3 linked regions of the Notamacropus eugenii genome follow. The protein of the gene in region 3 interacts with the protein of the main gene of each other region in a pairwise test. Links are inferred from orthologs where the notes say so. Each region holds a gene or a part of one and is shown on either strand. Other genes may lie near its edges.

What was found. The genes of interacting proteins can lie anywhere in the genome.
Region 1: the proteins of SF1 (region 3) and FAM168A interact in binary tests that used the Homo sapiens proteins (3 or more experiments, as listed by UniProt). The two-hybrid records come from large-scale screens. The link is inferred for Notamacropus eugenii from reciprocal best matches to the Homo sapiens genes SF1 and FAM168A.
Region 2: the proteins of SF1 (region 3) and SF3A1 interact in binary tests that used the Homo sapiens proteins (3 or more experiments, as listed by UniProt). The link is inferred for Notamacropus eugenii from reciprocal best matches to the Homo sapiens genes SF1 and SF3A1.

The regions. Positions count from the first base shown.
Region 1 is NC_092876.1:131,752,922-131,763,262, reverse strand, and holds the start of FAM168A (protein FAM168A), read right to left. Parts: upstream 4,355-10,341; 5' UTR 4,314-4,354; coding exon 4,257-4,313; intron 1-4,256.
Region 2 is NC_092875.1:15,041,550-15,052,498, forward strand, and holds the start of SF3A1 (splicing factor 3A subunit 1), read left to right. Parts: upstream 1-6,595; 5' UTR 6,596-6,665; coding exon 6,666-6,728; intron 6,729-10,949. Other genes in the region: CCDC157 (coiled-coil domain-containing protein 157), read right to left, coding at 2,993-3,164, 5,309-5,557, 6,332-6,465. UniProt on the Homo sapiens protein: Component of the 17S U2 SnRNP complex of the spliceosome, a large ribonucleoprotein complex that removes introns from transcribed pre-mRNAs.
Region 3 is NC_092873.1:17,539,425-17,550,242, forward strand, and holds the start of SF1 (splicing factor 1), read right to left. Parts: upstream 5,128-10,818; 5' UTR 4,942-5,127; coding exon 4,911-4,941; intron 4,600-4,910; exon of another isoform or gene 4,470-4,599; intron 4,127-4,469; exon of another isoform or gene 3,968-4,126; coding exon of another isoform or gene 3,949-3,967; intron 3,524-3,948; coding exon 3,395-3,523; intron 814-3,394; coding exon 738-813; intron 1-737. UniProt on the Homo sapiens protein: Necessary for the ATP-dependent first step of spliceosome assembly. Binds to the intron branch point sequence (BPS) 5'-UACUAAC-3' of the pre-mRNA. May act as transcription repressor.

The sequences.
Region 1 (10,341 bases), on a different chromosome or scaffold from region 3:
CTGTATATTTGGAACAAAAGAGGACTTTTGTTGATGAGAAGAATGATTGACTTAGTGGAAAGTGATAGAGGTTCAAAAAAAGAGCACCAATTAAAAATACAGGAAAAAAAGCTCAGAGGGAAACGCAAGCAGAACAATTTTGTTAATGCCTCATTTAAACATACATATTAGCAAACAAGCTGTACATAACAGATGCCCACCATTTCATATGTAATCCTCACTTATATTATCTGTATACTGGAATGTTTAAGTTAATTGATGATTAGTAAGCTTATAACAAGGGATAAGGAATAGAGATTTCAGTGTTATAGGGAATTTCTGAATGAAAAAACTCATTTACCAGTGCAGGTACCTTCTGGTTTTTGTTGTTGTTTGATTATTATTTTAATTCTGACTTTAACAAACATTAAATAAAATGTGCATTTTCAAATTCATAATATAACAAGAGGATTATATATGAAACTGTGGATCTCTTATCTATAGCTTGCTTTTCTTTATAATGTAATATAATAATAAATTCAACATATTAACTATCAAAGTTGTCTTATTTGTCTATGATTCCGACCTTCTTTCTGTTCTATTCATTTTTTTTTAATATGCTGCCATGATCCTTGATTGGCATACGGTCAAAGGATATGAAAAGACAATTTTCAGAGAAGAAATCCAAGCTATCAACAACCATATGGAAAAAGTGTTCTAAATTACAAATAATTAAAGAATGCTAATTAAAACAATTCTAAAATGCCATGTCACACCCATTAGATTGACAAAGTTGAGAAAAAAAAGAAAATTATAAATGCAGGAAGGGATGTGGGAAAAACAGACAGGTACTTAAGTGGATTGTTGGTGGAACTGTGAAGTAGTCCAACCATACTGGAAAGTAATTTGGAATTATACCCCAAAAGTATTAAACTGTGTATACCCTTCGATCCATCAACACTGCTACTAAACGTATACTCCAATAAAATCTAAAAAAAAAAAAAAAGGAAAAGTATCACATGTATAAAAATATTTATAGCAGCTTTTTCTGTGGTAGCAAAGAAATAGAAACTGAGGGCTTGCTTATCAATTTAGGAATATTTGAACAAGTTATGGTGAATACTATTGTGCTATAGGAAATGATAAAGGGGATTGTTTCAAGAAAAACATGGCAAGACTTGAATGAACTGATGCAAAGTGAAGTAAGCAGAACCAGGAGTACTATTGATACAATAACAACAATAGATAATCAACACAGCGAGCATCCAAAATTCCAGTTCATGATGAAGCATGCTATTCACCTCCACATAGAGAGCTGATGGATTCAGAGGGTATCTTAAAGCAAATTTTCTTTTCTTCCTTCCTTTTTTCCTTCCTCCTTTTTTTAGTGGGGGCAGGGGGTAAGGGAGATATGACTAATAAAGGAATTTGTTTTGCATGACTATACATATTTTAATGGGTTCAGTTTTTCTTGCCTTCTCAGATTTCCTTTTATAAACCACACCAGCAGACTATATCCATAACTAGTGAGGAAAGCCCAGCCATTGTACCAATCACAATCATCATGGGAACAAGAATGTCATTGCGTGGATATGGATGATCCAGAGATCATATCTCCACAGTCCTAGATGAGCAAGAGGCTAGATGCATAGGCATATACATACCCCAAGGAGACAGGCTTTTGGGTTCCTGCCCCAGGGACAACAGGGTTCTAAGTAATTTTCCTTTGAGAATATAGCAATTGAGATCATATTGAACAAAAGGCAGGGACCACAGGCACTGGAGCCAGGGAGGCAACAAAGCCCTCTTTCTCTAAGCTGTGTGAGCAGGCAGCATCTGGCTTTAAGGCAATTACATTGCCTAGATCCCTACTAAAGATGATTCCAGAAACCAAAAGCCATAGGATCAGGTATTCCATTCTTCAGCACCTTTAGGATAGCCTTGCTGGAGAATGCTTCTACATCATATAGAATGGAGGGAGACAGTTGCACAAAATACAGCAAAACTAACCACCACTGGAGCTGGAAGGTGCTGAGCCCCTTATAATAATTCTTTATAGTGCCTGATGTCTTCTGTTTACTCATATTTGCATCATTAGTTGCTGTGCCAAGATGAGTCTTTGTCTTTTGATGTCCTTTTGGATAGAGCGGTCAGCCCTGTTTGGTATTGACCTGGGTTTCTGTGCCGATCTTAACCTCCCAGGGTATGTCTACATTAAGAGCATTGGTAGGTTTTAGACCTCCTTGGATTTTTGAGATTCAGAATACTGAATTTTTAGGGTTCTTTATGGTATCTTAGGACAGAGTGCTAGGGATTTCAAAGCCTTTGGGCCAAGGATGTTACCTGAGATCTGCCATGCCCATACTATTCACTGATACTTCTGGCTCCTAAGATCCAAGCTATGGATCCAACCTCAGAACTTTTTCATGGAAGCCCCCTGCTCCCCCTGCCTCTTGATACATAGCCTTTTGGGCTACAGATATTTCTGGTCACATTAGGAGATGTTTGCCTGCATTGGTGCTGACTTTCTGGTATGCCACCTTTCCTGTTGGGTAGACTTCTGACAGACTTGTGCCATTCTGAGATGAATGAAGTAGTTTCTCATTGAATTTCTTGATCATTATTTCATCATTAGTTCATGTTAATTTTTAGTATTTTGCTAGAGTAGGTATATGGAAGCTGAGCTGCCCATCTTCATTCAAGCATCCATCTTGGTTAGAAGTACTCACCTTCATTTTTCTGAAGCCTTTGTAGCAAGTGTGCTCTGGTTTACTATCCCAGAGTCAGGTTGTTATACTTCCTTTCTCAGGATTCTAAGAGTACCCTGAGAGGTCAGAGGTATCTTCTCTACTGCTCTTTTGACCTTTTGAACCTCACCAGGTCAGAGTCTCCAGTCCTTTCAACTAAAATGGAAAAGGAAGACACAAGGCCCATTCATGTGGTCACATACTGATCTCAGTGGAGAAGGACCAAGGTCTGTCTCCTTACAGCATTGTGTCTCACCAGATGCGATTAGCAAAGAAGTCAAACCAGGAGAACTAGGTGAGAAGGGCCCAGGAAAATGTCTGAGACTCTGTTCAGATGTCCTTTGAGATATCCCCAATTCTGGTCATGTAGCTAATTGAAAAGTCTTCTCCTAACAACATGGTTAGCAAAGCAGAACCAATTACAGAATGTCTACATTTACTCCAAAGTCTCTTTAAAGCAATTTCATTATACATCATCAAAACTATCCCCAACCTCTTCCATTAGATTGTAAGCTCTCTAGGGGCAGCTCTTATCACAGTGTCTGGCACATAGTAGGTGCTTAATAAAGCTAATTGATTGATTGAAAGAGTATTACCATGGGAAATACTAACCAAATTTAGAGAAAGGGCTGTGGAGTCTGAAGGCAGACCAAATCAGACTATTTTCACCTTTTTTGTTCTTGTTGCTTTGTCTTTCTCTTGGTTTTCCCTTTTGTTCTTTCTTTCACATGACTAACATGAAAATATGTTTAATATGATTGTACATGTATAACCTATTTCAGATTGCATGCCATCTTGGGGAGGAGAGAAAGGAAGAAGGGAGGAAGAAAGAAAAAGGTTTGAAACTCAAAATCTTACAAAAGTGAATGTTTAAAATTTTCTTTACATGTAATTGGAAAAAATAAAATACAATTAAAAAAAGAAAGAGTATCATCAAAGGGAATCTGAATATATGCCAGTCCCCTTTAATAGATTTTCTTTTATACTTTGTCATCATAGTCCATGGTTTCAATTCTGAGAAGTCTTTCAGAGATTATAGGAACCTTTTCTTCTTTCACCTAAACTAGCAAATCTGTCTTTAACTCACTGTAGTGACTCATTACCATTCACCTCTTCTCTCTCCCTGAATTTGGTACCACATTAAAAAAAAAGATGCTGTGTTCTATGAGCAAAAGCAGGATTTCAGTAGCTCAAAAGAAACATGAGATGTGCAGATTTAGATACATCTCTTATCCCAAATGTTCATATGGACTACTTGTGCCCAACTTGTGATAGAACCTTCTGAGCTCATATTGGTCTGATCAGTCACAGTTAGACACAATGTACATTGACGACCCCCCTTCTCCTCCCCCCCATAATGTTATTTTGTTCCCCTTCCAATATGAAGGACAGCAACAGTTGTCTCCAACTTAAATCAACATTTTCTACTGAGTTCAGAGATTGGGAGTGAAACCTTCATTTCTCCCTCATTATCTCTCCACCCTCCCTACTTCCCCCAGGGTCACTAGACAGAAGTATTATTCAAATTACCTTGGGCTGTTTCTCAAAATTGCTAGAATGGAGGGTGAGGTACCAGTCCCTCTCCATAGACTGGGAAGGGAGAGAATTGTCCCTGCTGCACAATTATAGAATGAGAAGAATTACAGAATCCTAGAATCTCAGAACTGGAAGGGATACCAGGCAACCCCTACATGATGCTCTGAATTCTCTCGGCAGTGTTGGTAACAAGTGGTCACCCAGGTTCCCCTTGAACACCTCCAATAACAGGAAGTTTAGTCCTTCTAGAGCAAATCCATTCCATCTTGAAAGAACACTTATTGTTGGGGAGTTCTGGTTCTCTGGGATTTCATTTCTTTTATCTCTGCCTCTTGTGGTTATGCAAAACAAGTCACATCATTCTTTTATGGGACAGTTCTCTGAATATGTGAAGACACAAATCACCTCCTCCCTTAGCCTCTCTTTTCTAGGTTAAACATTCCTATCTGATCACCCTGTGACATGGTCCACCATCCTTGGTAATTTGACTGAAACAGGCTCCAGATTCTCAGTGTCAATATCATTCCTAAAATATAGCACGCATAATAATAGCTAGCATTTCTATGGTGCTCAGGAGTTTACAAACAATTTTTCCTTACAACAACCCAAGCAACATTATCCTTATTTTGAAGAAGAAGAAACTGAAGCAAAAGGAGGTCAAATGACTTGCTCAGGATCACACAGCTGGTAAGTAAAATGAGAAGGCTGGTCACATTGAAGCTTATGGTCCCTTCTATATCTTAGGTGTCAGAACTAGGATTTATTTCCAATTTATCCTCTATGAATATATCTTGTTTGTTTACAGTTGTTTGCATGTTGTCTCCCATCCTCCCCCCATTTTATCCCCTTGAAAGACTAGTTAGTTTGGGTGGGGGTGGGATTTGGTGTTTTATTTTTTGCCCTTCTTTATAACCCCAGTGCTTAGAACAGATCCCTGAATATAATAGATGCTTATTAAGTGCTTGTGGATTTGACCTGACTTGGCCCAATGTCTCCTGACTCCAGATCTAGCTCTCTCCCCATGGCACCATGCTGCCTTGGCAGTCCCTGTCCCAGAGCTATTCACATCTATAAATATGGAATGAAAATCTTTGCAGTATTTAAAGGAGGTAGTATGGTGCACTATAGTGGAAAGCACTCGACTTTAAAAGACCTGAGGCTCAGATTCTATCTATTAACTTGGGCCATGAACATAGACATGTGACAACATAACATATCTGAGTCAAAGTTTCTTCTGAGGTTCTGTCAATGAACAGATATTAAATGAAGGATTTAGTAATAACCAGTTTGGCTTCCTGCCCCTTGATCCTCTCAGCTGTGCGTGATGTGTGTGTGTGTGTGTGTTAGCTATCACCTCCTTCCATAACCTTCATTTTACAAAGGAAAAAACTGAAGCTGAGAAAGAGAAAAGAGGTTTCCAAAGCCACTTAGCAAGTCTATGTGGCTGGCACTTGAACTCAGGACTCCAGAAAGTGCCACCCTGCCCTGTTCACCCAACTTCTCTTCCAACAAAAGTCAAGTCCCCAACTAGGGAGCCACCATGAGTTTTGGAAGACAGTGGAGAACATAGAACCAGGGATAGTCATTAAATTTGGATTACCTAAATATTTGTTAAATGCCTACTAAGGGCAAGAGGACACTATCTTTGGTCCTGGGGACATAAAAATGAAAAACAATAGTTTATGCCTTCTAAGGAGTTTTCATTCTGGTTGGGAAGGGATGGTGTGAGGGGAGTGGTAGCAGGGAATCCAGTGAGTTCACAGGTTAGAAACCTACAATGTGATATAGGAAAAGGAGAGATCTAGGACGAATGCTCTAAAAAAATTGAGGAGAGAGAGAAAACTTGAAGTGAAGGGCATGGATAAGAGAAAGGCACATAGAGTCAGATGTCAGTCTAGACTTGATTTTAAAAAAGATGATTTGATCTAAGGCTGGGGTCAGGACTCAGGGAACCATATTGAAAATTTTAGTCTTGTGTCTGGATTTAGTCTGGATTCTCAATTCAAAGTGGGTCTGGTTTTCAGAGCAAAGTCTAGGACTAGGGTCAGGATTCAGTTGGAGGTCACAGCTCAGTCTATCTTTGGTATAAAGTCTTCCTCTGAAGTTAGAGTTCAGTTTGTTGATGAGGTCAGGGTTCAAGGCTGAGATCAAAGCTTAATATAGGATTGGGGCTACTATTTAGGTTGGAGTCAAAATTGGGTTTCAGTCTATAGATCAAGGAAGGGAATCAGACTGGTATCAGGAATCTATATATTGTCTGCTAGAATTGAAGGAAACCAATGAATGAGTATGAACCCATTTCCTATGGGCTTTGGTTTTCATTTTTAAAAACTCTGGTGGGGCCTTAGAGGAACTGAGAACTTACAGGTTCCTAGAGATATCTCAGAGAACAGCTGCACAAAACTTCTGAAGCCTAGGGTAGTATACCCTCCACTTGACAAAGGACTCAAAAGTCAAGTAACTGACTGGGAAAATGTCCAAGAAAAGGAGGAAAAAATAAGACTATAGAAGGTTACTTTCTTGGGGAAAAGGTATTTTATTCCATCCTTTCAGATGAGGAAGAGCAAAGCATTCCATCAAAGGAAGATATAAAATTCTAGGCTTCTACATCCAAAACCTCCAAAAAATACAATGGTCTCAGGCCATGGAAGAGCTCAAAAAGGATTTTGAAAATCAAGTAAGTGAGGTGGAGGAAAAATTGGGAAGAGAAATGAAAGTGATGCTAGAAAATCACACTGACTTGCTAGGTGGCTTTGGAAACCTCTTTTCTCTTTCTCAGCTTCAGTTTTTTCCTTTGTAAAATGAAGGTTGTGGAACTAGGTGATATCTAAAGGAGACCCAAAAAAATGCTGAAGAAAATAACACCTTTAAAAAATAGATTAATCCAAATGGAAAAAGAGGTCCAAAAAGCCAATGAGGAGAAGAATGCTTTAAAAAGCAGAACTGGCTAAATGGAAAAGGAGGTTCAAAAGCTCACTGAAGAAAATAGTTCTTTACAAATTAGAATGGAGCAGATGGAAGCTAATGACTTTATGAGAAACCAAGAAACTATAAAACAAAACCAAAAGAATGAAAAGATAAAAGACAATGTGAAATACCTCATTGGAAAAACAACTGACCTGGAAAATAGATACAGGAGAGATAATTTAAAAATTATTGGTCTACCTGAAAACTATGATAAAAAAAAGAGCCTTGACATCATCTTCCAAGAAATTATCAAGGAAAACTGCCCTGATAGTCTAGAACCAGAGGATAAAATAGAAATGGAAAGAATTCACTGATCACCTCTTGAAAGAGATCCCAAAGGAAAACTCCTAGTAATATTGTAGCCAAATTCCAGAGTTCCCAAGTCAAGGAGAAAATATTGCAAGGAACCAGAAAGAAACAATTCAAGTATTGTGGGAATACAATCAGGATAACACAGGATTTAGCAGCTTCTAAACTAAGGGATCGAAGGGCTTGGAATATGATATTCCAGAGGTCAAAGGAGATAGGAGTAAAGCCAAGAATCACCTACCAGCAAAACTGAGTGTAATACTTCAGGGGAAAAAATGAAATTTCAACGAAATAGAGGACTTCCAAGCATTCTTGTTGAAAAGACAAAAGCTGAATAGAAAATTTGACTTTCAAATACAAGAATAGAAAATTTGATTTTCAAATACAAGAATCAAGAGAAACATGAAAAGGTAAAAAGGAAAGAGAAGCCTTAAGGAACTCAATAAAGCTGAAGTTTTTACTTTCCTACATGGAAAGATGTTATTTGTAACTCATGAGACCTTTTTCAGTTTTAGAGTCATTGGAGGGAATATATATGTATGTATATGTATGTATGTATATAGATATATATGTAGATGTGTATGGGAATATATGTATGTATGGGTATGGGTATGTATACACACATGTGCAAGTATATATATATACACACACACGGGTGTATGTGTGCGTGTGTATATATGCATATATACATATATGTGTATGTGTGTTTGTGTGTATATATGTATACATATATGCACACACATATATACATATATATACACACACAAATGGACAGAGGGCATAGGCTGAGCTGAATATGAAGGGAGAATTCCTAAAAAAATAAAATTTACTCTTGAGTGGAATGTACTAGGAGTAAGAGAAAGGGAGAGGTAGAATGTAGCAAATCATCTCACATAAAAGTGGGAAGAAAGAGCCTTTACAATGGAGGGGAAGAAGTGGGAGATGAAAGAAAATAAGTGAGCCTTACTCTCATGATATTTGGCTTAACGAGGGAATAACACACACTCAGTTGGATATAGAAATCTATTTTACCCTTCAGGAAGGCAAGAGGGAAGGGGATGAGAGGGAAAATAATAGAAGGGATAGCAACTTGGAGAAAGGGATAATCAGAAGCAAACACTATAGTGAAAGGATAGGTCAAGGGAGAGAATGGAATAAATGGAGGGCAGGATAGGATAGAGGGAAATGTGGTTAGTCTTTTACAACATTATGGAAGTGCTTTGCATTGTTACACATGTATGACATATATTGAATTGCTTGTTTTGTCAATGAGGATGAGTGGGAGGGAGGAAGGGAGAGAATATGGAACTCAAAGCTTTAAGAATGAATATTAAAAATTGTTTTAGCATGCAATTGGAAAGTAAGATATACAGGCAATAGGGTATAGAAACCTATTTTGCCTTACAGGAAAATAGAGGGGAAGGGGGATAGAAGAAGGGTGGGTAATAGAAGGGAGGACAGACTGGAGGAAGGGGTACATGGGGTACATGCTGTCCTGGAGTGGGGATGGGAAGAGATGGGGAGAAAATTTTGAATTCAAATTCTTATGGAAGTGAATGTTGAGAACTGAAAATAAATAAATTATATAAAATTAAAAAAAAAAATCTGGTGGGGGTAAGGCCCACAGGCAGGACTCAAGAACAGAAATAAGGTTCACTACTCAACTAGAACAACAACAAAAAAACCCTCAGCCCTCTGTGGAGGCAGGTACTGTTTGTTCCCTAAGAACTGATAATGGGAATATACAGGTAATGTCAGATGAGATGTCATCCAGTAGAGATCAGAGGAAGAAGAAATGAGTAATCACTGCTGATGACTCCCTGATGTACCATTGTACACACAGTTAGCTGTTGATCTGATAAAAGTAAAGCGTTCTGCTGAATTCCCAAGGCATGTATCCAGGATGGGACACAGAATGGCCCAACATTTGCCAAATGACATCACAATTATTTACTTCAAAGGACTGTCATGAACAAAAGCAATATTGCTCTTATAGAGAAGGCAGATTGTGAGTTTGAGGAAAGCATCTTCTCCTCCAGAAAATATAACCTTAGAAGTAAAAAAGAAAACAAAAAAACAGGGGTATAAATTTATGTATATAGAGACCTTCAGGCTGGCAAGGATAGCAGGAGCCTTCATGATTTCTATCTTGGAGGAGGTCTCCATTACCTTAGAGATCTCTTTCCCCACCAGGATATTCTGATGAATTAACTGCAGAGACAAAAAATCCCCACTGAAACAATCCTGATCTTTGGCAACTCCTGAGACCCCAAGGTTAACACATTCTCCTCAAAATCACCTGACCTCTCTTCCTTATTACTCACCCTCCCAAATAAGGAAAGTGACTGAGAAGTCTCACCTGATATAGGGTTCCTTTTGCTGCCTTTCCTGTCACCCCAAGGTTGTGTAGAACCTTATATATGTATATATCTCCTTTTGTTCAGCACATTGTCACCCAGCAACTTCCCATTAGCTGATGCTAATTAAACTTTTTATCTTCTGGCCTAGCCTTCAGACTTATTGTTGTTGTTGTTGTTCAGTCATTTTAGTCATGTCCTACTCTTTGTGACCCCATCTGGGGTTTTCTTGGAAAAGATACTGGAGTAGTCTTGCTATTTCTTTCTCCATCTCATCTTACAGATGAGGAAACTGAGGCAAACAGGGTTAAGTGATTTGTGAAGGATCACGCAACTATTCAGTGTCTGAGGCTGGATTTGAGCTTAAGTCTTGAGTTTGAAGTTTGAACTTAATTCCAGATCTGGCCCTCTGTCCTCTTTACCACCTAGCTACCCCAGACTTATTG
Region 2 (10,949 bases), on a different chromosome or scaffold from region 3:
CCTATGTGGCTTAAAAGAAAAGTCAGAGTTGTGAGAGCAGATTGATGGCCTGCAAGGAAGAAATAATTGGCAGAACAGAAAAACTTGAATTCACAGTGCCAAGCCTCACCAAAAAACCAAACCAAAACAAAAGAGATACTGTTTGGGAGTGCAGACACATGGAAGTAAAGGGTAATCTGCAATGAGAGAAGCATTACGAGAAAGAATGATCGCCATGCAAGCAAAATACTGATCTTCAAGAAAGGAGGCATAGAGACAACCTAAGAATTAAAGTTCTCAAGGAGAACACGAGTCAAAAAACCTGAACGCCACAATATAAGAAATAGTATAAGAAGCTGCCTAGAACTTCTGAACACAGAAGACAGAATGTCAGTCGGAAGAATCCACAGACTGCCTTGAAGGAAAAGAACTCTAGGTTGTAAATTGCAATTTAAATTTAACAATTCCACTAACAAACAAGAAATGATGCAAGAAACCAGAAGAAAGACTTTTAAATATGAAGAAAAGAAAATTTGAACAAGACCATTCTGCAACCACCAGAAACTATAAGAGGGAATGGAATAACGAATTCTGAAGTGCTAAAGAGCTCAAGTGAAGCCTGAGTGTGACCTCCCTGTAGTGGGAGAGGGTACAGCTGATGAATACTCCTATAGGAGAAAGGAGATGTTATATGACAGGAGATGGGGACCTTATGCCTCAGGAGAAGGGGAATCAGGACTCTTGGGAGCAAATGGCACCCAGAGGAGTGGGAGGACACAGAGCCCAGGAAGAGACCACAAGGCAAATGCAGGGAAATGGTCAAAGGGAGGGAAAAGGCCAATAATAAACTGCACAATCAAGGACATAGGGCTGAATATTCCTTCCTCAGGGAAATATGTTCTCTATCACCTGCTGGTAATAGTATTTCCAAGAATAAAGTACAAAAAAAAAAAAGGAGTCCATGGGGCAATAGCAGAAATACTTTATAAGTGGGAACCCAAAATAGGTACTTCCAAAGTTCTAATTCCATGAGGAATATAGGGAATAAAGGACTAAATAAATACAAGGACAAAGAATAAAACTCTAGAATATACAGGAAATGAAGATAAATAATGACAAAAGGGAAAACCATCCTAGAAAGAATTTTTTTCTAAAAAGAATAAAGGTACAAAAAAATGAAATTTAAAAAACTAATGAACAAAGTAAATTAAAGGGGAAAGGAGGAAGAGGAATTTTCGTTAGCTACTTAACTAAGAGGAAAAACAAAAGAGGAGAAAAAATTTAAAACAAGAAAGAAAAAGGAACAAAGAAACAAAACTCCAAAATTAGGGAAAGGGGTAATAAACAGAAAGAGGAGGACAAATTTATGGGGAAGGGGAAGAGAGCAGGTAGAAAGAGGGCGACTTTAAAATAAATTAAGCTAAAATTAAGTAATATAGTACTGCTTTTGGAGGGGGGAACAATTTTAGAGACAAATGGAAAAAATTAACTTCAAATGTGGATGGATTAAACAATCCAAAAAATCCAAGGAAAAGAATAACAGGTCGTATAGAAAAGAAAATTTCACATTCTGTGGCTTACAAGAAACACATTTGAAAACCAAAGACATACCCAGGCATCACATCAGGGAGCACAAATAAAATACACAGACCTAAGGATGAAATTCTAAATGAGTGGGTCAAAGGACAAATCATAGGAACAATTAGTGATTATGCAAAATAAAGTGATAATGAGGCAACAACAAAACTTCTAGAATACAATTAAAGCAGTCCTTCACGGGAAAATCTTCTTCTTGCAAACATGTCTTAATAAAATAGAAAAAAAGAAGATTGGGGAACTGAATATACATTTTAAAAAATTAGATTGTCCACAAACCAACAACCCTAAAATAAACACAAAAGAAGAAATGACACAAATAAGAGGACAAATAGATAAACCAAAATAACTATAAAAACGATAAATAAAAATGAAAAGTTAGTTCTTTGAAAATACTCGTAAAACTGATAAGCCTTTAGTCAATCTGACTAAAAAGGGGGTAGAAAATCAAATCCAGAAAATTGTAAACTAGCACTGTGAAATCACAGCGAAACCAGAAGAAATAAAAAGAGTGATCAGAACCTGTTATACACAATCATACGCTAACAAAAGTGGAAATACAATAGCCATGGGGAAAAACTTCAAAAATGTAAAATAAACATCGGAGAAAAGATAAAATTGAGATCTTAAATAGCTCAAAACAGATATACCTGTAAAGGAACTACCAAAGAAAAAATACTCTTGGTCCTGATTGTGTGCATTTATCCTTCACTGCCGAAGAAGACTGTGCCATCAGAGAAATGATGACGTGACTTGCACTTGACTTTGTTTTTTTGAGTGAGGGAGGGCTGTGCAGATCACCAGCCTCACTTCTCCTCCAGAGTCATCTGAATCCAGTGACCAGATATTCATCAGGATGACTGGAGATGCCCCAGAATGAGGCAATTGGGGTTAAGTGACTTGCCCAAGGTCACACAGCTAGTGAGTGTCAAGTGTCTGAGGTGAGATTTGAACTCAGGTCCTCCTGACTCCTGCACTGGTGCTCTATCCACTGCACCACCTAGCTGGACAAATTTAGCCTTAATACCTAAACCAGAGAAGGATAAAGCACAGAAGAAGAGCGATAACCAATATAAATAAATGGGGGAGTCTATGAGACATAATGGAATATTACTGTGCTACAAGAAATAACGTATGTGAGCATATGAAGAGACATGGAATGATCCACATGAATTAATGCAGAGTGAGGTCAGCTGAGCCAAGAAAACAGTATACACATTTACTGTAATGCAAATGAAAATGACAACCAAACACCAAAAAAATCAGAAGTGAATTTTGCAAAATACAAGAAACAAACTTGGCTCCAAAGCAAGAAACGAGAGAAGACCCCCTGCCCTGGCAGAGGGGGAAGCTGTCAGCCACTCCTGTTGTCTGGAGGTCACATGCCCAAGGGCTACTCTGGGAGAGCCATCCCTACCTTAGTCAGCGATTGCCGGTAGAGCTCTCCCAGTTTCAGTGTGCTGGTCCAGTACTTGCGCACAGTGAGCCCAATGGACATGCAGGGCCCCACCTCACGGGAGACGGGGATCAGCTCATTGCTGGTGATGTTGTCCGTGTAGCTGGTAAAACTCTGGAGAAGCAAAAGAAGCCTGGGGGACAAAGAGACTCAGACTGAGGGCCCAGAGCCAGACAGGCCAGAGAGGGCTCGAAAGCCTCCACCTGGGGAGGATGCTCCTGGTCACCCAGTTTGTCAGTGGTCTTGGAAACCAAGGCACCCTGGGGAGCTCACAAAGCTCTATAGGCATGTTGGCCAGCACATTGGACAGTACTCTTAAGTACCCTGACATAAAAGAGGACATGTCACTTGGCCCTTTGGCAGGTTTTCTTTTTCTTTCGGAGCAGGGAAGGCAAGTCAGTTGGGGTTAAATGACTTGCCCAAGGTCACACAGCTAGTAAGTGTCAAGTGTCTGAGGCTGGATTTGAACTCAAGGTCCTACTGAGTCCAGGGCTGGTGCTGTATCCACTGTGCCACCTAGATGCCCCTGGTAGGTTTTCTTTTGCCAAATTCAAAGCTCACTGGCTCTCTGAGTGGCCGCCAGACTGTCCAGAGCTTGGACTCTGAGTTTTCTTGCTTTTTAAACTTGTGGGCTTTTTGTGTGTCCTGACTGAGTTAAGCAGCTGAGGCCCCCAAAGGGGCAGTGACTTACCCAGGTCCCACTACTGATAAGCAGCAAAGTCAGGACTGCAGCCGGGAGGCTCATGCCCTACCTTGCACCCAGGCCATCCCAGCACCTTTGGGGCCCATTTCCTCTTTGGAGGAGCAGAGCTGCCAGAGGCTCCAGAGGCATCTACTCAGCCTAGAAGAGCACACACCCCACCTTCCATAACATTCTGAAGGTCTTCCAGCTCCCACGAGGCAGCATGGTAGGACTGTGCATGGTGCTAGATTTGGAGTCTGAAGACCAGAGTCTGAATCATGCCTGGGACACTTACTGACCGTGGACTTAACCTCCCTCAGCCTCAGTTTCCTCATCTGTAAGATGGAACTATAATTGTAAGGATCAAATGAGATAACATTCCTGGAAAAACAGGCTTTTAAAAAGCCTGTGTTTCAATGTAATGGAGTACTATTGTGCCATAAGAAATGATGAACAAAAAGATTTCAAAAAGGCCTGGAAAGACTTATATGATCTGATGCTGAGTGAAAGGAGCAGAACCAGAAGAACTTTGTGCACAGCAACGACCACAGTGTGCGAGAGTTTTTTCTGGTAGACTTGGAATTTCGTAATAATGCAAGAACTTATTAAAAAAAAAAATCCCAATGGTGGTTTTCTAAGGCAAAATGCCTTCCACACTCAGAGAAAGAAATATGGAAGTCATTCGCAGAATGTAGCAGATCATGTTTGTGTGTGTGTGTGTTTTTGTGTATCATGTTTTGATTTGTTATATGATTTCTTCCATTTATTTTAGTTCGACTACATAGCATGACTATAGTGAAAATGTACTCAATAGGAAAGTATATGTAGAACCTATACAGAATTGTATGCTGTCGTGGGGAAGGAGGGAGGTAGTGGGAGGTAGGTGTTGGGGGGATAAAATCTTAATTTTATGGCAGTGATTGTAAAACATTAAAAAATAATAATAAAATAAAATTTAAAAAAGAAAAAAAAAAGCCTGTGTTTCAAATGGAGCTATCTGACTTGTCACTCAGGTTTCACTGAATGGCCAATAAGAGCCCCCAGCCAGCCAGTTCTTGAGTTCTAGAATGAGTGTGCATGGCAATTATTTTCTGTTCTGGCTAGAAACTCTGAGGGTCTTCCCCTTCCAGACTGATGTTTCTGTGATGGTAAATTCAGCCATCTTTTGTCACAGTTCTTATCCAGCCCTTCATCAGATTGGGTGTGCCTCAGACAAACTGAGGCCTGAGAAAGACCTTCATTTAGAAAGGCCAAGGTTACCCCCTGCACCTCAGGCCATCCTGAGCGTCTGGGCCTATGTTGTGCCGCTGGACTTTCCATGACTCAGAAGGGAGTAAGGCTGAACACTTAGCTGGCTCTGCCTCACTGAAATCCAGTTCTCAGAGTTAAGACATCACCCTCAGGATGTCATCAGTCCTGAACTGCAGATCTCTATATAAATGCTGTTGTGGCTCTGAAGGTGGGGGCTCCCCTAGCACTCTAGCTCTGGACAGCTCCCAGCCTTGGAAAGTCAAGCGGATACCTGCTTCCCTGCCCGCAGCCCCTGCCCTCCGGGCACCCGCTCCAACCCCGGGGCACCCTGGCTTGCCCCTCACCTGTCAATCACCAGCTCCAGGAGCACCACATGGGAAAGCTGGGTGAACTCCGGGTTCCCTTCCTCGTGGTCATAGTGCTCCAAGAGGGACACCAAGTCCAGGTCGCACGACACTTTGTCGGGGAATTTCCAGGAGGGGAAGCGCACGGCCCCGGCTCGAGAGAACACGTCCACGATGGCTCCTTGCAGGTCTGTGATGTCCTTCCTCAAGCTGTCCATGCAGCTTTGGTTCCCCAGCAGATGGGCCATCCTGCAGGCCAGAAGATGCCCTGGGCGGAGGCAGGACAAGCGCCACCTCCTGCCTCCCGGCGCCCTGGGCCTCGGTTTCCCAGGTTTTAATTCGGAACCCACACGTCTTCATGTCCCTCCAGCTGAGCTCTTGGGTGGGACCCCGGAGGGGAGGGAGGGGATGCTTTCTGGGCACGTGGGCAGACACCTGTGCTCGGCTCGTTCTAGGGCGCCCTGGCGGGGGGGGTGTCTCAGGCTCCCCCCCATGTGCCCGGCCCCACCGCTCCCGATCTGAAGCCCAGCCCTGAGCCTCGGAAAGGTGACGGAGGGCTAGGAGGTCCGGCCAGTCCCTGACCAGGCCGAGCTGCTCTCCGGTGCTCTTGGTCTTCCCTTCGTACCCACGACCCCAGTCCCTAGCCTGGGGCCCGACACCCGGGGGGGGCGAGGGGACGGGGGGGCGGAGCTTGACATGAGCCCCTGGAAGGTAAGGAGCCTTACCTGGGAATAGGGCTGTGGAAGGGGGGGAGGGAGCAGGGCGGGGCTCCTGCGACAGGAGGGGTGCTCCCCGAGGTGGGAGGGGCCCAGGGATGCGGACAATAATGGCGGGGTTCCTCCAGGAAGGCAGGTGCTCCCTGAGGTAGGAGGATGGGCTCCCCAGGGGAGGTGGGAGGGGCGATCCCAGGGATGGGGGGGAGATGAGGGGCGGGGCCAGAGTGGGGGCAGTGAAAAGGCCGGGCCCAGGCGGGCTGGGCACCCCGGGGCAGGATGGGACCCCGAGACGTCAGTCCGAGCTCACCTGCCCCCAGCAGCGCCGCTGCAGCTCTTGGAACTATTCCCGCAGCTCCCGCCCCCGGAGCCCCGGCCTCGACTTCTCAGGTCCGCAGCCGCTCCCAGCCGAGTAACTGAGGTCTCCCGCCTGGCCGTCTCCATGGCAACGGCGTCTCCACGTCCGGCGTGCGCGGGGGGAAGGGAGAAGCGCCCCCGGAAGGCGAGGGGCGGGACCGGAAGCGCGTCTCCCCGCCTCCATCAAGGCGGTCCGCCGCCATCTTGTGAGCGCCCGGCTCGGCCCTGTCGTAGCGGCCGCTCGCGCCCGGACCGCCGTTGGAGCCGCCGCCCCCAGCGCCGCAGACATGCCGGCCGGACCGGTGCAGGCGGTGCCGCCGCCGCCGCCCGTTGCCACGGAGCCCAAGCAGGTAGGCGGTTGGCGGGCCCCTCTGGGCCTTGTCCGCTGATGGGAGGGAAGGGGAGAGGAACTGGAGGCTTTGGGGCCTCCATGGCAGAGAGGGAGACGGACTACAGCTCCCAGGAGGCTTCGCGCTGGCCGCGCCGCGCGGCCACCTGGGAGCCGGACGAGGGCGCTCTAGGCCCGTGGTCCTGCTGCCATGGAGCCCCAGCGTGGCCTGAGCGCCCCCGCCGGCGGCCGCGTGTGCAGAGCGGCGGGAGCCTGCTCGTCCCCGGGGCGGGCTCGTGGTGAGGAGCCCCCTGAGCGCTGGGCCCATCCCAGACTCTCGGTGACCCCTCCTGGGGTTGTCTTGCCGCAGATCCCGGAGGGATCTCCATTTACAGATGGGGAAACGGAGGCAGGCAGGGTGAAGGACGAGTGTCACTGCCCCCCCCCCTGCCCGCGGGCCCCTCCCCCAAAGGCAGACACGTGGAGAGACGGGGGAGGGGCCGGGAAAGGGAAAGGCAGACACGAACCCCGCGATGGAGCCTCATTAATCCTAACCAATTAATCATGATTAATGATGATCACGTAGCCCTTTCCCACTTGTGACCTCACCGCACGCGTGGGCCGAGAAGTCGGGACGGCTCGTGGATTCGTGCTCGGGAGTGGGCCCAGAGTTTCTTCTCGAGACTGTGAGCTGTTGGGGGGCAGACGCCGCCCCCCTTTGTGCCCAGAGCCTAGCACGCAGGAGGTGCTCAGTGATCCATCCGGCACCTGCCCGGGGGCGTCCAGGATAAAGCGCCTTCCGCCAGCCCGCCTTCCTGAAGTTTTTAAATTGTGAGTTCGTTATCAGTAAGCAGTTGAAGGTCCAGAACAAGGAAGGTTACGCCAGAAGTTGTGCCGTGGTTCCGTGGTCCCGAGAGGCGTGCTGGGCCATCGCACCGCTCCTGATGAGTCCCAGGAGGAGAGGGTGAGGCTGGTGCCGCCCTCGAGTCACCGGCAAGCGCCAGTCATGTCGTCCCCCGGGCGTCACGGCCTTCTGCAGGAAGGAAGGACGGACGGACGGACGCAGTAAGGGATGTGTGCAGAGTTAGCCAGGCAGTGCCAGGAGCGCTGGCTCGGGGCCCCTCACGCTTGGAGTGCGTTGGAGCGTCCAAGTGCTCCAGTGCCTGGAGCGAGCTGTCTGATCGGTGCACGAGCCCAGCGCCCTCCTGTAACACGCTGGGATAGCACGTGCTGCCTCCCGGACCGGTGCCTCTGTGAAGGGGCTCTGCTGTTTCCTAGCCTCCCTTGAAGGTTCCGAGGGGGAGATGGCCTGCCACCTCTTCCCAGAATGCCTTCCGGGGAGGGGGAGAGAGAGAGAGAAAGGGTGTGTGCTCATGCTGAGTACTCCATAGCCACCCGAACACGGGAACAAAACAGCCCCTGTCCTCAAGGAACGGAATTCTGTCAGGGAAAACAATGTTCCCATCCAGCTAGATCTTTGTGTGTATTTTCACATCTGGTTATCACTGCATGAATTGTTCCACTCCCCTGTGAAAGCTCTTTTAGGGCAGAAACTTTGATTTTTCTCTTCATGGCCCCAGTGCTCAGCACCAAATCCCCAGAAAATGTCTGTTGAGTTGAATTTACATTGTTGACCCGTCCTGTCCTGCTCTCTGTGACCCCATGATTATAACACACCGGGCTCTTCTTTCCTACTCTCTCTCAAAGACTAAGGTCATGTGTGTTGCTTCCGTGACACTATCCCTTTCATCTTCTGCCACTCCCTTTTCCTTTTGCTTCAGTCTTTCCCAACATCAGAGTCTTTTCCCACGAGTCCTGGCTTTTCATCATGTGGCCAGACTATTTAAGCTTCAGCCTCAGTATTTGACCTTCCCGTGCGTAGCCTGAATTAATTTCTTTAAGGGACTGATTTGGCCTCCTTGATGTCCAAGGGACTCTCAGAACTCTTCTCCAGCTCCACGATTCAAAGTGTCAGTTCTGTAGTACTCTTGTAGTTCCTCTCACAGCCATATGCTACTACTGGAAAAGCCATAGCTCTGACTATGCCAACGTCATATCTGTGCTTTTACTCTGCTGTCCAGGTTTGTCATATCTTTCCTTCCAGTGAACAAGCATCTTTTAATTTCATGGTTGCAGTAAGTCAAAAAAACCCGACCCAGCCTGTTGGTAAAGCCTGACATGTGCTAATGGATTCCCCACCTCTAATATCCCTCACCCACCCCCACCCCTGCCTGCCTTTCAGCCAGCAGTGGGGGGTTCTGTTTCCCCATCAGTCCTCTGAAGACAAGTTTAGTCATTGCAGGCATCTGAATTCTGCCTCCTAATGTTGTCTTTATATTCTGGTGGTCCTTTGTGTCTTGCCTGCCAAGAGGAGGAGCTGTCTAAGCCGAACTCTATGTCTGCCAGGGCCTGCTTATTTAGCATGGCATCCTCCACAGCCCTGCTCAGCGGGCACCAGATGTTCATTGAATGTTGTAATTGAGTCCCTGGGGGTAAGAATGCTTGGGAACACATCTTGTGAGGCCAGCACTACACCTCAAAACAAAAAAAAACACTGTGTCTCTTGGGGTGAGGGATGAAAGAGAACAAAGCCTTACAGAGGCATCTTCCACTGTTCTGGGGCCCATTCTCCCTCATCTTTGCTGACTGAAATGGCCTCCCCACTTCACTCTGGCTTCCTTGGCAGCTTCTTCTGCCATCCCTCACCTGGCTGCTTTGCACAGACTCTTGTTTTACCTCAACGTGGTATCACCCCAGGGCATGGCCACTACAAATGTTTAATATACTAAGGCCTCCTTGGGGCACTTCCCTGAAGACTCTGGTTTTAAGAGAGCCCTAATGAGCCAGTCTGGGCTCTTTCCTGCCCTCATCCCCTATGGAACTTCCGTGGTGATGAGGATAATGTCCTTCTTGGTTTTTCCTCCCAAAGTAAGGAATGTTGACCTGGAGGCTTTTTGCTCTCTTGTTTGCCTACTCTAGCTGGAAAGATTCTTCCTTGGTCACAAAGAAAGGTCTTCAGCCATGTCCTTCAGCACTCAGCCAGTCCCACCCTCCACCCGTGCAGCCTGACCAGCCTGTCCTTGCTGAGAAGGGCTCCTGTTGCCTCTTCATCTGGGAATTCCTCCTTTTTCCATCCAAGTCAGAAGTCACCCCCTCCCACCCACTAGAGAACACTGACAGGGACATAGAAAAGGGCCTGCTGAGGGTCCTGGAGCAGAGCTAGGGGCTGGTAAAAGCAGTGTAGATGCTTGGTCATCCATCTTGTCCCCTTCCCTTAAGGGGCCAGACCTTTTATTTCAGATACCATCTTAGGAGAGCACTCCTGCCCCAGGAATTGAGCCCTCCCCAGTACAGATTGTTTACTGGGGAAAGATGGGGTGGGGCATTCTACTAGGGCATAGATGGGGGAGAGGGCAGGGGATGGGGAAGAGTGTGTCCAGGACAGAAAGTACAGGAAGCAATGAGAGAAGGGAGGAGGTTTGTTGTCTGTTCCTTCCCCTTTTTGTCCTCTCAGACCAAGGGCCCAAGGATTTTAATAGGGTTCCCTCCTTAACATGTCCCTTAGATATGGGGGTGTAGGGTTTGCTCCAGCTCTTCTCAGGCCCCTTGGGGGGGGGTGGTGAAGGAAGCCAGAGGAGCACATTTCAGCTTTCTGCTGATGTCTGCAGGATGTTTTCTTTTCCCTTTCTTATTAAGAATTTTGTTTTAATGCTGTTGAATCTTAGAATGGAAGATCAAGGTTTTGTTCCCCTTATTTGACCAAAAGAGCTAGAAGATTGATTTTGTCCATCAATAAACATTTAAGTATCCACCGTGTGCCAGGCTCTGTGCTCAGGGCTGGTGGTAGTAGTGAGCCCAGTAGGTCTGCAGTTAACACCTTATGGAGTGGTGTGGGACCCAGAACAAGGGGTGAGTGAGTGTCCTAAGAGCAGTAGGTAAAAGTGAACGGGGGCAGCCAGGTAGGTGGCACAGTGCACAGAGGGCTGGGCCTGGAGTCAGGAAGACCTGAGTTCAAATCTGGCCTCAGGCACTCCTGTTCAAGTCACTTAACCCCTCTCTGCCTCAGTTCCTTATCTGGAGAAGGAAGTGGCAAACCACTTCAGCCAAGAAAACCCCAAATGGGGTCACAGAGAGTCAGACACACCTGAAACAGCTGAGCGGCAACAAGTGAACCATCCTGGGCTTGATGGGGTAGAGAATGTCTGGGGGGCATTTACCAGGATGGGGAGAGCACTGGAGACCA
Region 3 (10,818 bases):
ACAACTGGTTAAAAAAGTGAAGTCCCCCTCAGAGCAACGGTCCGAGACTGTGACCTGAAAGACCAACATGACCAGAGCTGGTTTTGGAGGGCCCCATTACCCCCTTCAAAAAAAACATCTTAGGGCTGCATTTCACCCCAAACAGATGAGAGACCCTAAGCCCTCCTCCCAACACCCCCAGGCATTGGCCAAAGCTGCAATATTATTAGCTGGCAGTGAAGGAAGTTGGTTAGAAATCTCATCTGACTTTAAAACCATCTCCAAACCATGAGCAGAAAACTGTCGTTATCAGCTACCCAGACTGAGTTTCTGGGCTGCTTCAACCTCAATGATGCACAAAAAAATGTGTTCTTAATCCTGCACCGTGTGTACCTGTGAGGAAGATGCTACATGGGCTCATGGCCAAAGCAGGCTCTGAAAGGTCAGTTAACTGGCCACCTGACTTGCCCTGTACCAGTATCAGGTTCAAATCTACATGCTTACCAATTGGAAACCAGTTGTCCATTTCTTGCGATTTTTGGTTTTGCTAAAAATTAAGTTTCATTCCAAATTTCTAACTGTTAACTGCTCAAATATATTAATAGAGAATTGTGTTTAAATCTTAGTTCCCCAAAGAGTCAGAGTACCAAAGGCATCTTATCAGGATTTCATTGAACTGACACATTATGTTGCCACCAAAAATGTATTGAGAAAAAGGTAAAAGCGTTACTGTCAGCTGGTTAAAACTGTTTCCCAACCTGTCCTCAGGGTTAGGGGGGATGCCCAGGTCTCCTGTGCGAAGTTTGCGAGTCAGGTCTTCTATCTGCAGTTGCACTGGAAGAAACCAGGTTAGGAAAGAAAAAAAGGATGGAAAAAAGACAATGTTACCAAAAAACATCTCAAATCTCAACATCAAAGCATGAAGAACTTGGAGACTTTGAAAGGGATGACTGACCAGGGAACAAACTGAGGAAAACCCCCAACCACCTACCAATCATATACTTCGGCAGGAATCCATTTATATCTCTAGCTATTTTTCTCTTCAGAGAAGGTTATCAATTGGGAAGCAAACAGTTTGTTGGAAGAGGTGTTAGCAATAAAGGCTGCCTAATGACTACAGCTAACAACAAAACAGTTCGTGGGGAGCTGAGATGTTTCTGCTCTACCTGTCCCAGTAACAAAAGCTTGCTCCAACTGGTAACAGAAATAAATCGTGGATGCCAGCAATACCCACCCCACCATATTATTCTCTTCAGGGTCAAAGTCTTTTTCCTTTTTTTCCATTAAAACAAGTAACGTGGTCTGTGCTGAGGACCAATTAATGAATGCAGGTACAGAAAGTGATACCAGTTGAGCAAAGATCATTTCCTTTCCAGTGTGGATTGTGCTACTGGGCATATTGAGTGTCCTTCCAAATCCCCTTAAGATAATCCAGAAATTCACAAACATCCTATTGCATACTACCCGGCCCATCCATATTAGGTAAAGCTGCCAATATACCTGCTATTCAAGTGTTAGATAACAAGCGATATACATAAATAAACCAATAGTCACAGATGCAAGAATTGTTTTTGGTTTTGTTTTTTACCACAAAGGTTTTAGGGGGACAGGCACAAAGGGCAAAAGGGAGTAACATGTGACCCCCCACCTTGGCTGTCGACATTTGAGGCTGTACAGAAGAAAGGAAGGTGAGGGTTTCACAATCGGAATAATGATAATAATCTACCAGTGGCTCTGAGCAACATTACTTGATTTCAGAGATAATGAGACCTGTAGTGCCTGGGGACACAATACCATTTTCCCCAAAGGTGTTTAAATAATCACCTACTTCTTACCTTTAAACCAACCAAGGGCAAAGGCCTGCAGAGCTTTTAATTGAATGGGACTAATAATGTACTTCCAACTCAAAGTATCTAGTTTCTTCTCTGCCACAGAAAAATCTCCAAGTCCAAACAGCCCAGGCTAAGTAGCCCAAGGTGAGATTCACCTTCATGATTATATTTTACTTACTGTACATTTTTACCTACTGAAATGTGGGTATGGGAGACAAGAGACAGAGTTTCCCTTGGACTTCTGGATAAAGCCCAAGACACTAATGACTTTAATGCAATTCCCTCCACCAGTGGTTGGTGGTGACTTAAGTTCTGTGGTTTGGGGTTAGCTAAGTTCTACCCTGGATTGCCCTTTGACTCTACACTGATTGCTGCTGTAAATAACTCTGGGGCTTTGTCCATTAACAACCAAGGGAGCCCAAGGTAAGGAGGAGTCAATAGAGCTGGGCTGCTGTCCAAGAATAAGGGCACAACTCTCCACTAGAGGGCAGGTTTTCCAGTCAGAAGGCCCGCATCTGGAGTCATGTGCCGGCCCCAAGAGGCCAAAACTCTCAGGTTCACAAAGGCAGAAAAAAAAAATTCATGGCACAGCCCCAAGAAAACACCTTTGCTGACTGCCTTAAAGAGGCTTCTGGATCTATTTAAAGCCACAGCCTCCTTAATGAAAAATGAATTGTTTAAACTGATTTTTTTTTTGACACCTGCACAAGTTGGCAAATAAACACAAAATTCTTGCATTAAAACCTTATATCAAAACATGAGACAAGTCACTTTGAAGTTTCAAACTTCAACTGCAATGTGGTAGAATTATTCCCAATACAGAGATAAATCTTTTAACACTTGAAATATCCTATCTCCCCATGTAATATTAGACTTTTTCAACTACCCAAGGCCAGCTCCATTCCCAAGCAGTATTCCTTTCCCAGCAAAGTTCTTTGTGAGCAAATACAAATGCCTTAGTTTAAAACAGTTCCAGAGACCAAACCAGAACAGATGCTGAAGGGAAGGTTAAATTTCTGGAACCAAATGTTAAGTAAAGATAAACCACCACCAAATTTTCTCTTAAGCACTTATGACGTTAAAATTCAGCTGTTACAGGTTTTTCTGCCCCTTTCAGGCCACACCATGGTACCATTGTGGAAGACGCTATATTTCTTGGGTAAAGAAAGGACCACTCGCTTCCACAAGTACCTGCTGACTGGGGTCCACTGGAAACCCTCACCTAAGAGGCCTCATTTTCCCCCCCTTTCTCCCACCTCTTTAAGTTCACTAAGCAGAGAAAATGTTTTGAGGGAAAATGAAGGTAGGGCTAATATTCTGTCCCAGGGATTCTACTACCCCCTATACACACACCTTCCTGGCACCCACGGAGAACCTGGCTGTCATGAACAGATGGGGACCGGGCTCAACAGTACAGTACTGGTTAAGCAAAAACTCGTGAGTTAAAACGTTAAGCAGTCATACCTGACAATAGCCCAAATCTTGAAAATGTAAATTTGTAACACTTCGTTCAGCAGTCAGTGACATTTCTCAGATGAACTAGAACGTGATTCAATATGTTTGCATGTAGAACGTGTATTTACCTATATAAGCTCTTTCTTGCTCCCTTGTAAGTCCAGGGGGGATGACAGTCGGCATTCCCGGAATCACCGTCTTCTGTTCCATTGTATCCTGGTTCCATCGGCTCCTCTTCCGCTTCTTATTTGGGAAATCTGAAGGCAAACGTGGTTCGTTAGACCCAAACAAAATCTATGAGCCCGCAAGCGTATACCCTACCGTGAGCCAAGGGAGCCCAATCGTGGCCCAAAAGTTGGATCTCCACCCGCCACCAACAATGAAAAAGCAGCCAGGAGAAACCTCAGGGGACCCCCAATTTAACCCTGGGTCACTACAAACTCCCAGACATTGTGGTGACCGGGACTTGACCAGGGACTGGACGAGGACCACTGGCTCACAAGGCTTCCCTCTCAGAGCCTCCTCTAACAAAGGGGGGGGGGCATTTGGGTAACCCTGATGCCCCCCCATCAGAGCACAGCCAGGCCCAAGGCTCAGCCCCCCCATACAGCCAAGGGCAGGCCCAGGAAGGGCGGCGAACCACCCTCAGCCCCCCCCCCCCCCCCCCGCACCCCGCTCTCACCGCCCAGGCGGCCCAGCATGGCCGAGGCTCCTCTGTGGGCCGTCAGCCCTCCTTCCTCACAGACCTATCTCACCCCATACGGGGCGGGGGCGCCCCGGACCCCTCCCTCTCCACCCGTCCACCTGGAGGCGCCCGCGGTGGAAGCTGCCCCCGCTCCAGCCCCCTTCCCCCTTCGATTGGCTTTCAAAGACGCGCAGGCGCACCAAAATGCCCCGGCTCGGCCTGCCAAGCGGACGGCGCCTGCGCACAGTGCTTCCGCCCCTGCCCTGCCCCCCCCTCCCGGCCTGCAGAGGACGGCGCGTGCGCGCCCTCCGCTCCCTGGCTCGGGCTGCGCGCGCAGGCGGCGGCGGCGTGCCCCCCAGCTCGGCCCCCCTGCCCCCTCCCTCCGTCCCCCCGCTGCGCGCGCGCCCCCGCCCGCCCCCGCCGCCGCGAGCCGCCGCCGTGGTGTCGCGCGCCCCTCGGGCGGCCGGCCTGTCCGCGCGCCGCCGGCCTCTCTCGCTCGCTCTCAGCGTCCGACTCACCTCCTCCCCCGCCGGCCGGGCCCGGCTGCGGGTCCTGGAGCGGCTGCGGCGGCGGCTGCGGCGGAGACACGTGCTGGAAGAGCGGCGGCGGCTGGGGCGGCTGCGGCGGAGGAGGCGGCGGCGGCGGCGGAGGGGGAGGCTGCGCCTGCGGCTGCGGGTACGCGGGGCCCGGCGGCGGGGGCGGCTGCGGCGGGGGCCCGGAGGCCGGGCCGGGAGTGGCGGCGGGCGGCGGCGGGGGCGGGGGCGGCAGCGCCGCGAAGGGGAAGGCCGCGGCCAGCGGCGCCGCCATCAGCCCGGGGCCCACGGGCCCCAGCGGCAGCCCCGCCCCGGGTCCCGGCCCGCTCCCCCCCGGCCCCGGCGGCGGCGGCGGCTCGAAGGCCCGCTTGGGCCCGGGCCCCGGGGGGAGGCCGGGCGGGGCCGCGGCCGGCGGGTGCAGCTTACCCAGCGGCGTGGCGTTCGCTCCGGTCGCCATGGCGCCCCCGGGGACCGGCGCCGGCAGCGGCTGGGGCGGCGAGGGCGGCTCCGGGGCGGCGACTTGGGCTTCGCGAACCTTCGCGGGGCCGCGGCGCGGGCGGCGAGCCTCCTCCGAGCGGACCGGACCGCACCGCACCGCGGAGCGAGCGCGAGCTCCTTCCTCTCACGCGGCGGGCGCGGCGGCGACGACGGCGGGCGGGCGGCGCGAGACGCACAAAGAGGGAGGAGGGGGGCGCCGGGGACCAGGGGGCGGGCCAGCGGACCGGCCTTCCGCCGCCGATTGGTGGACGTTAGGTCCAGGGCTGGGATGGGAGCGCTCGGATTGGCGGAACTGCGGCCGGGCGCTGGGTGAGCCGGGATTGGCCCGAGCCGTTAGGAAGAGAGAGGAAATGGCGGCGGGGATGGGAGGGGGCGCGGTGCGCTCTACATTTGTTACTGCGCGAACTGAGTTCTAGGCTACCTGGGGGTGGGGGTGGAGGCGAACTCTATGACGTCAAGGAGCAGCGGCCCTCTCATTGGCTGAACTGAGTACAGTCCATCAAGCGCAGAGGTGGGTCGGGATTGGCTGCACCGAGTTCTCGCCTCTCGCCCCGCCCCCCTCACCCTGGGGAGCAGTTTCCCCCTGATTGGAGAAGAGGTCACGGCCTCGGAGTCGGCGCCAGGCCGGGGCTGGGGCGGGGGGGCGCATGCGCACGGAGCCCCATGGCCTCGGTAGCTGGGCCGACTCTGGTTGCAGAGGTGACCCGCCCCTCTCTGGCTTAGAGATGCTCCCGGACCTTGGCTAAGTGCTTTGCCACGTGATCTCAGGTCCCGCCCCCCCTCGCCCCCCCCCGCTGACCTGAACGGAAGGGACCTAAGTGTCCATCCCTGTCTAGACAGGGAAACTGAGGCACAGAGGTGGCCAGGCCGCCTAGCCCAAGACCACGACCTCCCGGACAAAGGTCTGGGCAGCCCAGGAACTTGATTTCCTCTTCCGCCACAGTGCTGCTCCCCCCACCCCGTCCCTGGCCATCCCCTCTGGTTTTGCTGGGGGCGGGGAAGGGCGCGATGACGTCATTGCCCCGCCCCACGATCCCCGCCTCAGCGCCACCCTCCCCTCTATACCTACCGGACCCATTTGGACCCACGCAGCCCCTTGTCCTGGGGTGGAGACCCTCCCTGGCCGTGGCGGGATTCCGCTCCTTCCACCCCCCATGCTGGCTCCTCCCGCTCATAGCTGGGGACCTGGCCCCTAATTATCTCACCACCCTTCTGGCCCTTCTCCTTGCCAAGGCTGCCCCCTCTCACTCCCCCCGGGCTAGCGCCTCCATCAGCCCCCTTCCTTCTGCCTGCAGACGTGCTCACTCCTCCCCTTCCCCAAAAAAACCTTGCTCTGGAGGTGAGGGGGAACCTGCAGCCTCGAGGCGCGGGGCGGGAGGCCCCTGCCCTAGACCGGACCACCCCCCCACTGTTCTCCCTTTCTCAACCTCTCTGCCCCTGTCCTCCAGCTGAACCCCGGCCCTCTCCAGAGTCCCCCGTGCCCTATTTGTGCCAAGCCTGTCTTTGGCCTTTGATGCTGTGGACCATGCCCTTCTCCGGCTTATTCTTCTGAATCTCCCCACCCGCGTTGTGGGATCTGACCTTGGGGGTTCCTCCAAGACTTGGCCCTGGGCCGGGCTGGCTTTTCCCTTTACAGCCTCTCACTTGGTGATCTCAGCAGTCCCCATGGACCTGGCCCAGGCCCTTCCCTGAGCTTGTCTCACGTGAGACGTCTCAAACTGAATGTCCCAAAGACCTCTCAGACTCAGCCTCCCCTCCCACATGTCCCTATTTCGGTTCGAGACTTCCTAACCTCGGGAAAGGCTCGCTCTCCCTCGCTGCACAGATCCAACCAGTTGCCAGAGCTTGCCATTTCCACTTTCACAACCACTGACACCTTTTTTTCTACCCTGGAACCTACTAGCTTAATTCAGACCCATATCACCCTGAAGTCATTTCCCCTGAGTCAATCCATCCAACAAATCCATCTCCCACCTCCATGTCTTTGCCTTGGCTATCCCTTATGCCTGAAATTCGCTCCTCCTTAAAGAGTCCCTTCTCTGTCTTGAAAACCAAGCTTGAACCCCATCTTCCTCTCTAAACATTTCCTGACCCCTTCCTTCCACAGGATGTCGCATATATTTGTATTTATTCACATTATATTTATGCCCTATTCAGGGGTGGGGGACTTGCAGCCTCGAGGACACATGTGGCTTTCTAGGTCCTTGAGGCGGCCAAAAGACTTGTTTACAGAACAAATCCTTTTATCAAGGGGATTTGTTCTGTGAAGTTTGGATCAGCAAGAGGGCTGAACTTGAGGACCTAGACCCTGCCCTATATCTTTTCATATGTACTTAAAATCTCCCCATTTTCTAATATCTAGCATTCATTTCTTTTGTACTTGTACTCCCAGGACCAGATCTTTAGTAAAAACTTCATAAATGCTGGTTGATTTTATTGTTACATCTAAGATCAAATATAAATTCTTCAGCTTGGTATTTAAAGCTTTTCACAGTCTTGTTGTTCAGTTGTGTCAGGTTTTTCATGTCGAGATATTAGATGGTTTGCCATATTCTTCTCCAGTTCATGTTACAGATGAGGATACTGAGGTAAATAGAGTGAGGTGACTTACCCAGGGTCCCCCAGCTAGGAAGTATCTGAGGCCAGATGTGGGCTCAGGAAGGAGTCTTCCTGGCTCCAGACCTAGCCGCTTCACCCCCCTTCCCTGGTCTCTGGCCACCCTTTTGGACTCTGACATTTACAGCTGTTCCAAGAACAGACCCTCCCTCTCTTGGCTCTTGCCATTCTCTCTGGCTGTCTCTCAGGCATCCTACTGGAAACCTTCCCCAGCCCCTTAGTTAATTAATTCCTATTTATCCTGTCTAGGGCTCATTGGTATGGGATTGGTTTCAAGTTTTCTCACCCATTCAGCCAGGAGCCCCTCCAGGGCAGGGGCTGACTTTGGTCTTTCTTTGTATCCCCAGCACTTAGCACGGACTTGGCACTTAGCAGGTGCTTCATTGGGGTTGCCCAATTGTTGCCTTAACTAGGTGAGAGAATGGAGGAGTGAGCATTAACTTCCTTAGAACCATTCCAAACTGGGAGAGACTGGGTTATTCCATAAGCAATTTGTCTAAGTAAGAAAGAGAAAATCTCTGAGGAGGAGGGGGACAAGACAGGACACCAGGGAGGAAATTCAGAAGGTCTGGATTTCCGAGGTCGGTGCGAAGAGAGGAGGCCTAGGAAGTCCTGAGAAAAACAGGCCAGCCTTTTTCCAGCTCCCCCTTCTTCCATGCCTGGCGGTCCTCAAACACTCCCACGGGAAGGAAAGTTTTGTTACCTAAGTGTTTACAATAAACTGGATTAAGTTTGCAAGAGAAAGGAACCCAGCCTCTTCCAGGTAGGAGGGATTTTCCTGAGGGCTCAGAGCAATTGGAACTTTTCATCTGAAAACAAACGCAAAGCTAGAGAGGGGAGAAACCTGGGGACCTTAGAGCCCGTTTTATTGACTGCAAAATAAGTTAATTGCTTTGCCCAAGTGCTACCCCAACTTTCTGGTCTTCCAGGGTCCAGCCCACTGTCTCCCACCTAGTTCTATCTCCCACCTAGTTCTGTCTCCCACCTCCCTTGTCTTTCTGGGTCTAAGGTACACCCCACCCTAACACTCAGAAAGCACTTCAATGCTGGGTGACTGAATGATGAAGGGAATTCACATCTGTAAATCCTTCACAAACCTTAAAAGCAGTTGCTTAAACTTTTCTAACATGGAGCCAAACAACAGGTACTGCATGGTACATATAGTAGAGGTATAGACCAAGATAAGCACCAAGTAGAAAAGTCATTTGGGAGGGGGAGGCCTTAGAGACTGGGGTAGGGGGAGAGGAATGGTGCCCAGGAAAGGCCTCCTGCAGAGACAGTGCTCCATCTGAATCTTGAAGAAAGCCAGGAAGACCCGGAAGAGGCATCGGGAAACAGTCAGTGCACAGATGGGAATTAGAGTGGACCAGCAAGGAGGCCACTTAGGTCAGATCATAGAGGTCTGTGGACAATAAGGTCCAAGAACCAGGGACCAAGTTGGAAGGATTTGTATTTGATCCTGGAGGCAAGAGGTACTGCAGTCTATAGCAGTGTAGGACTGGCCTGGGTTAGACCTGCATTTTAGGAAAATCACTGGGGAAGGAACTGAGAAAAGATGATGCTCAACTTCCCCAGGTCACCAGAGCCAGCCAGAATCTGAGACTAGGAACTTTACCAAATGCATTCCAATAGATTTGCCGAGGATAGCAAATGGAAGAGTGTAGGAGGGTGTCTCATGCCCCCACCCCCTGGAATACAGCAGCTAACAAGATGTTCTACACCAGATAACTCTGTGGTGGAGAATATCTCCTTGATTGAGTTCTGGGAGCAAATATTTAAACTAAGTGTGAACAATCTTTAGATACCACTACTGAATCATTTAATTAATCAGAGCTATAAACTAGATGTGTACAAGAAGTGCTTCAGGCCACTGAATGAAATCAGATGGCAAGATGTATTAGGATTGATTAAAAATTCTAAATATAAAACTGCAAAATAATTACGAATGCCTTATGTAGGACATTCTGCAAAGATATAATCCAGTAAGACCTCACATGCTTCTTATCTGCAAGACTTCCTATTAAGTTTATTTTACAAATTTTGTTAAATAAGAAAATCATTTTTACTGAAATAAGTTGTAACTTGGAAAATGTTTAGTAGAATATAACAATCACCTATAAAGTTAATTTTTATGCTGGACTTTATTTGAATAAAATTTTGTAGTATTTGGTTGAATGCCAATAAACAGCCTTAAATCTGGTTCTGCATCAATTTCTGTGTTTTGATTTAAAACAAGAATAATGTCTTTTGTTCACACAAATAAGAGGTGGAAAATGGCAGGAGAATTTTATAAGTTTTCTGCTGAAAGATGGAAATTCATTTTTTTATTTCTAGCTGCCTAATCAATCATTGACAATTAATAGCTCATTAGAATATAAAGCATTTATTTATCTCCTGCCTTATCCCAAGTGTCGCATTAACTGGTAACTGTCCTCAGAGCACAGTTGCATATTTTTTTGTTTTTTTTAGCAGTGTTTGTGTGTAAACTAATCTTGGGAAGTGAAAGCTCTCTTCAGGCAGAGACTGTCTCTTTTTCCACAACTGGCGTACCAGTTACACTCTCATAGAAAGTACAGGAACACTGTCCAGTGTTGCTGCCTGGTCCAATTGAATATCCACTAGAGAAGAAGATAAGTTTAAACTTAACGTCAGCCTCTGGACTTCCGTGAGAGGCCACAGAAAGTGTTTTGATGGTCCATGACGGTTTCATCAGATGCCTTCCGGGGTGCTGCAAGAGGGCCAACCTGAGACTGTGATTATACAGCTGATGAGGTCTGATTACAGGGTGACAGAAGGGAATGAGGGAGCAGCACTGGGGCAGCCAGCAGAGTGCTGATGAGTCTGTGAGCACGCTTGCTTTCCACCATCCCTTGGGAGTCCATTTGCATTAGAATTTGAATCCTGGTGGTGACTTGAGAACAATTTGATGACAGGTTGAGAAACTGCAAGGACTCATCAGATGCCATCAGATTTTGCTGTAGCTGCAGCATGAACACCAAAAATTGTGTGCATGATCATGACAGTTTGGGGTCACTGCAGAAACAAACTCATGATGTCTCATGCACATGCTGGGTATCACCCAGGAAAAATATATTTGCAACATAATTGGACTATTATTTACCTCTCAAGGCTCCATTAAGGCATCTTTAGCACGTTTCCAGCTCCCAGAGGGGATTCCCTGAATTAGACACCCCTCTGGGCCTACACATGTCAGAGAAGC